Linked DNA regions of Canis lupus familiaris. The protein of the gene in region 1 interacts with the protein of each later gene in a pairwise test. Links are inferred from orthologs where the notes say so. Each region holds a gene or a part of one and is shown on either strand. Other genes may lie near its edges.

The links.
Region 2: the proteins of CCDC57 (region 1) and TMEM100 interact in binary tests that used the Homo sapiens proteins (3 or more experiments, as listed by UniProt). The two-hybrid records come from large-scale screens. The link is inferred for Canis lupus familiaris from reciprocal best matches to the Homo sapiens genes CCDC57 and TMEM100.

What each region holds. Positions count from the first base shown.
Region 1 is NC_049230.1:986,431-989,930, reverse strand, and holds part of CCDC57 (coiled-coil domain-containing protein 57), read right to left. Parts: intron 1,368-3,500; coding exon 1,145-1,367; intron 520-1,144; coding exon 367-519; intron 1-366. UniProt on the Homo sapiens protein: Pleiotropic regulator of centriole duplication, mitosis, and ciliogenesis. Critical interface between centrosome and microtubule-mediated cellular processes. Centriole duplication protein required for recruitment of CEP63, CEP152, and PLK4 to the centrosome.
Region 2 is NC_049230.1:30,656,528-30,660,640, forward strand, and holds the start of TMEM100 (transmembrane protein 100), read right to left. Parts: upstream 2,801-4,113; 5' UTR 2,684-2,800; intron 2,464-2,683; exon of another isoform or gene 2,446-2,463; intron 1,671-2,445; exon of another isoform or gene 1,548-1,670; intron 1-1,547. UniProt on the Homo sapiens protein: Plays a role during embryonic arterial endothelium differentiation and vascular morphogenesis through the ACVRL1 receptor-dependent signaling pathway upon stimulation by bone morphogenetic proteins, such as GDF2/BMP9 and BMP10.

The DNA of each region.
Region 1 (3,500 bases):
GTGGAGACCAGGTGATCTGGAGGTGGGGGTCCTGCTCCCCCTCCCTCCCCATACATCATCCCTGCCTGGCCGGCGTCTGCCCCCTAGTCCCCCAGGTAGACCCTCCGCTGGGCCAGCGCCCCAGCCAGGTTGAGGGGGCATCTGCGTGCGGCCGAGCAGGTGGGGGGCAGGGAGGTGCCCACATGGAGGGGTGAGCAGCCTGGCCCAGGGACTCCCGGGCACCGGGAACAGGGACCCGCGGCTGTGATCCTTCCTTGACCTGTGCCTTTGCATTTCCTGCACTTGCTGTAGCGTTTATATTCCAATGAAAACAAAGGCCGCGTCAGTGGGACAGAGCATGCGACAGGAGGAGACGAGGACACTTACCGGGGGCCTCAGCCGGGCAGTGGACACTGGGCTGAACGTCAGCGTAAGATGAGGACCTCTTTGCAGGATCTAAGACATCTTCTATTTGTTCCTCCAGGGTTTTAAGTTTATCCTTTAGATTTCGTATTTCCGTTTCAAGGACCATAACGTGATCTGCCCCCAAAAAAACCAGTAAATGCACAGGCACACACACGGACGCTCCCATCACCGTCACCTAGGTAGAGGCCCACTCGGGCTGGGGTGGCTGGCTTCCCTGCCCGCCCACCCATAATGCCCCCCCCCCGCCTGCGGCGAGGGCGCTCCCTAAGGAGGCAGACAGGCAGCACCCCCTCACCCCCACGCACTGGCGTCTGTGGGAGTGCACGGCGTCTCACGCGCGGGGCCGTGCTGCCTGGGGCCCTCTGCTCACGGCCACTCCTGGGCCACCAGTGGGGCCCCGCTCCGCCACAGCACAGGACACCCCGAGGAGAGGCTCAGCGTCCCCAGCCCCACACTGCCCGCCACTTGAACAGCGCCCAGCAGCTCCCCGGCCAGCGGGCTCCCGGCTGGAAGTGCCAAGGACGCAGCCCTTCGCTCTCCTCGTCCCCAACCAATAAAACGCTGTAACCCCTTTTGTGAACACGGACTCCACGAAACCTCTCTCGGGGGAAGGCTGCTGCCACACATTGATGTGATGTTTTAAAGCAGTTGTTCATTTACAGACTCCAAGTGAGCCCCTTTGGGACCCGTGGAGACCCACGTACCCCCAGCCCCTGCCCCCACCCTCGCCCTCACTCACCAGGAGCCTTCGCAGCTGCCTCTGGATGTGGCCGGGGCTCTTCTGGGCCGCCGGCCTGACCCCCTGACGGGGCAGGAGGAAGAACATGCTCACTCAGAGTCTCCATTTCTTTCCTCATCTCTGAAACAGCCCTTCGTAAGCTTGTGTTTTGCTCCTGGAGCCTCTGGATCTCATAGGACGGAAAACTTTCCTTGGTTTCTTCTTCACGATGCCTTAGGAGCACCTGGCACATACAAAAAAGAAAAGAAAAGAAAAAAAAAAAAAAAAAGAAAAGAAAAGAAAACGCTGACAGCTAGGAAGACACCTGTGGCATGCTGCCCATCCAGGGCTGGCCGCATCTGCACTCCCTCCCGTCTGCCCACCCGGCGGCAGGAAACTTCCACCTAAACTGACGGGGACAATGAAAACCTTCCCAGCAGGCGCTGGGAAGACGAGCCTACTGTTTGACAGGCAGCTTCCTTCTCAGCTACAGTGGCAGCTGGTGTGGAAAAGACAGGCAGGCAGAGTGCCCACAGGGAGGGCTGCTGCGTGTGTGTGACGGCGCGTCGCCATGGAAGACCGTCTGGCGGCTCCTCCAAGGATCAAACACAGAGTGACTCCCGACCCACACTCCGCTCCTGAGCATAAGCCCAAGAGAACCAAAAACAGATGGCCCCGGCAAAACCTGCACACGCGTGTTCACGGCAGCATTTTTCACAGGAGCCAAAATGTGCAAACACAACCATCCACCAATGGATGAATGAATTAAAAAAACGTGGCAAGATGGAGCAATGTTCAGCCATGAAGAGGAGTGAAGCCCTGACACACGCGATCCCCCAGGTGAACCGTGAAGACACGCTCCGTGGCCGTCAGAACCTGAGCACAGTTGCAACCACAAACACACTCAGGGAAAGGAAGGAAAATGGGCGTAAAAGCAAAAGAACAGAAAAGAATTTTATTTATCTTTTTAAAAGATCTATTTATTTCAGAGAGAGAGCCAGTGCATGGGGCGGGCGGGGGGAGAAGCAGACGCCCCTGAGCAGGGAGCCCCACGTGGGGACTCAATCCCAGGACCCGGGGTCAGGACCTGAGCCAAACGTAGATGCTCAATCACTGTGTCACCCAGGAGCCCCCAGAAGATAATTTTAGAAGAACCAGAATTTCTGGAGAAACGAGAAAGACATCATTTGAAATAATAAATTCACTGAGGATGGCCTGGGAGCAGACCAGAAGGTGCAGGAAGGAGGGAGAGACGGGAGCATCAACAGGCTCTGCGGAAGAAGTCCTTCAGTTACGACACGCTGACCACAGTACCTTCGGATTGATGAGAACAGAGGACCACAGATGCAAGAAGTCCACCAAACTCAAAGCAAGATAAACACAAAGAAAATCCCACCAAACAGCACGTCATCATCAAATTCCTAAAACAGATCAGAGATAGAAAATGCCCAAAAGCGATGAGAACACAGCACACTCGGCACGCACAGGCACAGATACCAGGTTTCTGCTGACTTCTCATGACAGCCACTGGAATCCATGGGACAGAGGGAGGGTGGGCGTGCGGCGTGCAGGAAGGGGACGCCCCACGGCCCCGCATCCACGCTCAGCGGTGGCGTCCTGAGGAAATGACAGCGACACAGGCTACGGCCCTGAGCACAGGGCTTCACCGCGGCAGGCCCGCTGCTGGCTGTCAACACCAGAAAGTCAGATGAGCTCCAAGAAACGAGGGTCTGCAGACCCGCTGGCAGGGAAACACGGCGCCTGAACAAGGGGGGCAGGGAGCGCAGCCCGGCAGACTGCCTGGTCCTGGTCTGAGCCCTAGGAGAGCCCCTGGCACAGACACGGGCCTGCAGGGTCCCCCTGACACACGGACATGGGACTGCAGGACCCTACTCCGTCCGGCATGGACACAGGCCTGTGGGGTCCCCTCCCCACATGGACACGTGCCTGCAGGGTCACCCCACACACACAGACACAGGCCTGCAGGGCCACAGCTGTGCTCACTGTGCGAGGGGGCCGCCGCCCCAGTACCGCCCAGTCTGCAGCCCCCGGTTCCCTGCAGCCCCAGTGGCGCTCCAGCCAGTCGGCGAGCTCCCGGGGACGCATGAGCATAGCCTGCGCACCAGGGTGGCAGGGGCTAGCCGAGCATCTCAGCGGCCGCCCGGAAGGGATGGGCTGTGCGGTGCGACACACAACCATTTACGTTGTGTTTTGAAGAATTACAATGATGTAAAAAACAGTCACTGCACAAGTGGAAAAACCTCCAAATCCGATAGCAAGACCTGACCTGCCCAGAGAGAGCACGTGCCTGGGAACATGGACGAGGTCCACACGGAGAGGCCACCAGAGCCGCAGGACAGCGCCCCGAAGGTCGGCC
Region 2 (4,113 bases), about 30 Mb from region 1:
TTGTCTTTCCCTCTCTCTCTTTTTATTTCCTCCCCCACTGGATTGCCCCTCCCTGTCATTTTTTTTTTCTTCGTTCTCTTCCTTGCCAGCAGATTTCGAGTTTTGGCTTCCCCCAACTCCGCTCAGTGACATGATAAGTCAGAATCATTCTAGAGTCCCCAGAGATAGGAACCAGCTTTTACTTTTATTTCTCTTGCAGCATTTACTAAGTAGACGGCTTTGCATTACTCATTTTTTCCCCAGCTAGCCTCCAGATCTTCCTCCCACCCATCAGGCACTTTCATAAGAAAATCCCAGAGTCAGCGTTGCAGACCCAGCTGAGGGGACAGAGCTGGAGGGACAGACGCTAGGGCAGCAGGAACAGCTGTGAAGTCATGGGGCAGCTGAATTCAGCCGGTAAGCTAGCAAAAATCCATGTTCCTAGGCTTCCCCAGTATTCTTTCTTTATATGTGTGTGGGGCCACACGAAGCTTTAAACTACCCATTGTTTGAGATTAATTCACTTAGGAATGAGGGTTGGAGATGCAAATGCTTACGGTTGAGGGAGAAACCAATCATCTTGCTTTAAATATGATCACTTAATACTCCTGCTAGGAGGTGAGGACACTTTTGGCAATGCTGAGATTCTCATCAACATCCTCATTACCATCATCGCTGTCATTTACAGAGCACCTACTATGGATGTGACAGTACATTGTGTGTGCATTAGCATTAACTCTCACTAGTTTACAAATGAGTTTAGAAATAGTTTCTAAATGAGGTCCAGAGGGGTTAAATAATCTCACAAAGTGCACACAGAAAGAAAAAAACCCTCGGTTTGAACTCCAGTCTTTAATGGGCACATAAATCATGTGGAGAGCTTGTTAAATGTAGAATCTGATTTAGTGGGTCTGTAACAAGCTCCTGGCTGATGCTGCTGCTCTTCGGCCCACTTTCAGGAGCAAGATATTTTAAACATTCAAGTATAGGTGGCTTGATGCATCACACTCTCAAATAATAAAGTTAAAGGTCTATATCCACCTGTTCCTTATGTGGCCTTACAGGTTTATACTTTTTTTTTTTTTTTACAGATAAGCTATTTGAAATTTTAAAGCTGCAGGTTGCCTTTTTGAGAGAAAAATGAGATAACACTAGGACACTATTGTAAGCTCATCCCTATACTGTGTAGCTCAAAGTTATCCGTCCTCTATATTTTAATCTGTACAAGTTTTAATAACGTCTTTTTAATTAATACAGTGAATCTACAAACATAAATTAAATCCCGGAAGAGATTTGTTCCCTTCTTTCTCTTGGGTTGTTAGGTTGCTTTAACTATTGGTGCCGGATGTTCCCAGACATCTCCCTTCTGTTCTAAGCATCCTGCATCTAGTAAAAAATACCTTGATGATTTTGTCATAAAGGGAGAAGGAACAGAAGTCTTTTTCTCTAGAATGGAAGCCAGAGAAGGGGCTTTTTTTCATTTAAAAAAAAAAAAAGCTGAAAAGTCCCTGAGGCCTGACTTCACCAAGTCAGGAGAGCCCCACTAGCTTGCTGAGGAGGATGAGTACCTGGAGGTCCTCCTAGCTGCCATTCTTGTACTTGTATGAGAGACAGAGCCATCATCCAGGAGAAATGCTGTCACTTGGTGTCGAAGATAAGGGATGCTTAGAACCAGGGCATTTCAGCACTTGCCGACATTGCCCTGGGAAGATGATGATATGGTCACTGGCCACATACACTGGAGGCTTTGGGGACGCTCCTTATAAGAGCATCAATCCCTCCCACCTGCAAACTCTGGGCTCTGGGCAGAGTTCCTCTCCATCTCCTAGCAGGGGTCTCTTTCCCACCACCAAAATAATTCAATAAACCCACTGCAGCTCTCAGTATCACCTTACCCTGTTGAACATCATATTCCCCTGTTACCAAAATCAAAGGTACACAAATCAAACTTCTGCCAGAGAGAAAGCAGAGGCACCCTTTTCCCACATTGAGCACTTGGCTGAATCTATAATAGGGGACAGTGAGTACATCTGTGTGCTGGGAACAGGAGCAAGTCTGTCATTACAAGTAACACCAAAGCATTCTTCAGCCTTTCCTGGCCCCAGGCATCTCATTCACCCTAATTCTTCTTCACAAAGAGTGTGCATATACCTAGATATGCAGATGCACATCTCCAGATTCTAAGGAGACAACCAATGATTTGTATTGATAAATACAAAGACGAAGAAAGCTTTGGGATAAAACAGAAGTTGTATATGAAGAATACGCACCAATTATTATACCAATGGACACATGCGGTTATAACCGACTTTTACCTCTTCAAATTGAAACTCAGGGAGAATTCCTAGTGATGAATGCCTGAGGTCATTGAATATTTTTTTACCTTCTTCCACTTTGTGCCTATCCGTTATTAAACTCCCTTGGGAATTCCTTAAGGGACACCTGCCCCCAAATGCAAAATCTTACCCACAGTGCAACCAGTCTTCTTTCTGCAAGCCTTTCAGAAGGGAGAAGAAGTCTTTCTGGTTCTTTTTTAAACACATGGCTCCAGAGGATTCTTTTAAGTTTGGAAAACTTTTCAGAAAGCTTCCAGTGAGTGAATTAAATCGGTGCCCCCACCCCCACCCCCACCCCACACTACCCCTCTGTAGGCATTCAACATTTCTCTCCCAGATCTTTCACAAAGCAAGGCAAAGATTCTTACCTTTCCCAGACAGAATCGGACTGAGACAGCTGCCAGCTCGGCCAACAGCAACCCAAAGAGGGGGGATGCAAATCACCACACTAGGGACCGTAAACAAAGTACTCAACAAGGCTTGAACACAATTAAGGGACCGGAGAAAAACTTGGAGAGAGGAAATCCTTTAAGCGCTGCTGCATTTTGTTCTGTTTCCCTCTATGAGAATGTAATCTGTATTTTTAAAAAGGGAATCAAGTTTGAAAAGAATGTCCTACTTTGTTTTACTCTCTTTATAGCCTCATTCAGGCTTCCATTTTCAAGATTTTCCCTACCCAAGCCCTCATCCTGGTAGTCCTCTGTTCCTACTGTGAACCTACAGAAAAGAATTTGTCATCCTTGTTCTGTACTTCCAGGCAGGTTTTTGGGAGGTATGTGGGCATGGGTAGTGGGGTGTAAATTAATCTCTTTTGTCCTAACATGCAAGTAAAAAGAGGAGCAATTGAAGAGGAGGATTCATGGTGAAAATGGCTTGTGATTCCTTATGTGGACCATTTCCCTGAAGTCCCAGTGGTGATCTTATCAGCACTTTTCATCAGAGGATGGCAAAGCACCATGGAAACAACGGTATTCTGGAAAATCACATCTCTGAGGAACTGAACTCCTAATCAGCATATAATTTCCAGGCTTCAACATCAGTCTGATGCTGGGAAATTGAAACCACCCTGCAACATATAATATTTCCACCAAAGGCATCATAAATAGCAGAGCTTGTTCTTCTGGGGAGAATTTCCCCAAATTTGAAAAATCTTACTTCATTCAGAAATTAGATTGGAAACAAAGTGATTTAGGTGCAGGGGATGCAGAAGTAGAGGAGGGCAGGGAAGATGGTGATAACCAAGAGGACATTTTGCCCCTTTCTCTTCGATACAAGCCAAGGTTCAGTCTCTGGTCTGGAAAAAGGGGGGAGGCATTTTGATTTTGCCATTGACTTTATGCTGCTGAAGACCTGGGTATTTCTCCTTTGGGAACGCACAAACTTCGCATTTTGTGAAGAGAGAGCACCTCCATGTGTATTCAATTACTCGCCCATATTTACTTTCAGTTTGCTTTTGCTTGGTGTGGTTGAGTTGGCTAATTTCCAGCAGCTGTGAAGATGCCAGTTCCTTCCGGCACTCTGTCCAATCACTGCATGCCTTTGATCTGGGTCATCACCCAGTCCAATTGGATTCAGTGAGATTCGGGAAACTGGCCAGTTTTTCTCTTTTCCAATGCTTCTTTTAAGGGTGTGTCTGCATTTATCTTCTGAAATCACTAACATTTTGGAAAGTGATCTGTGCTGGTGTGTTCATTTTGGATAACACGTCATGTTTTTACTGCTTTCCCCACACCACTCCCCAACCCTAGGCACTTTTCTTTGAGGTCTAGGACATTAGAGAGATCTGATAGCACCAAGG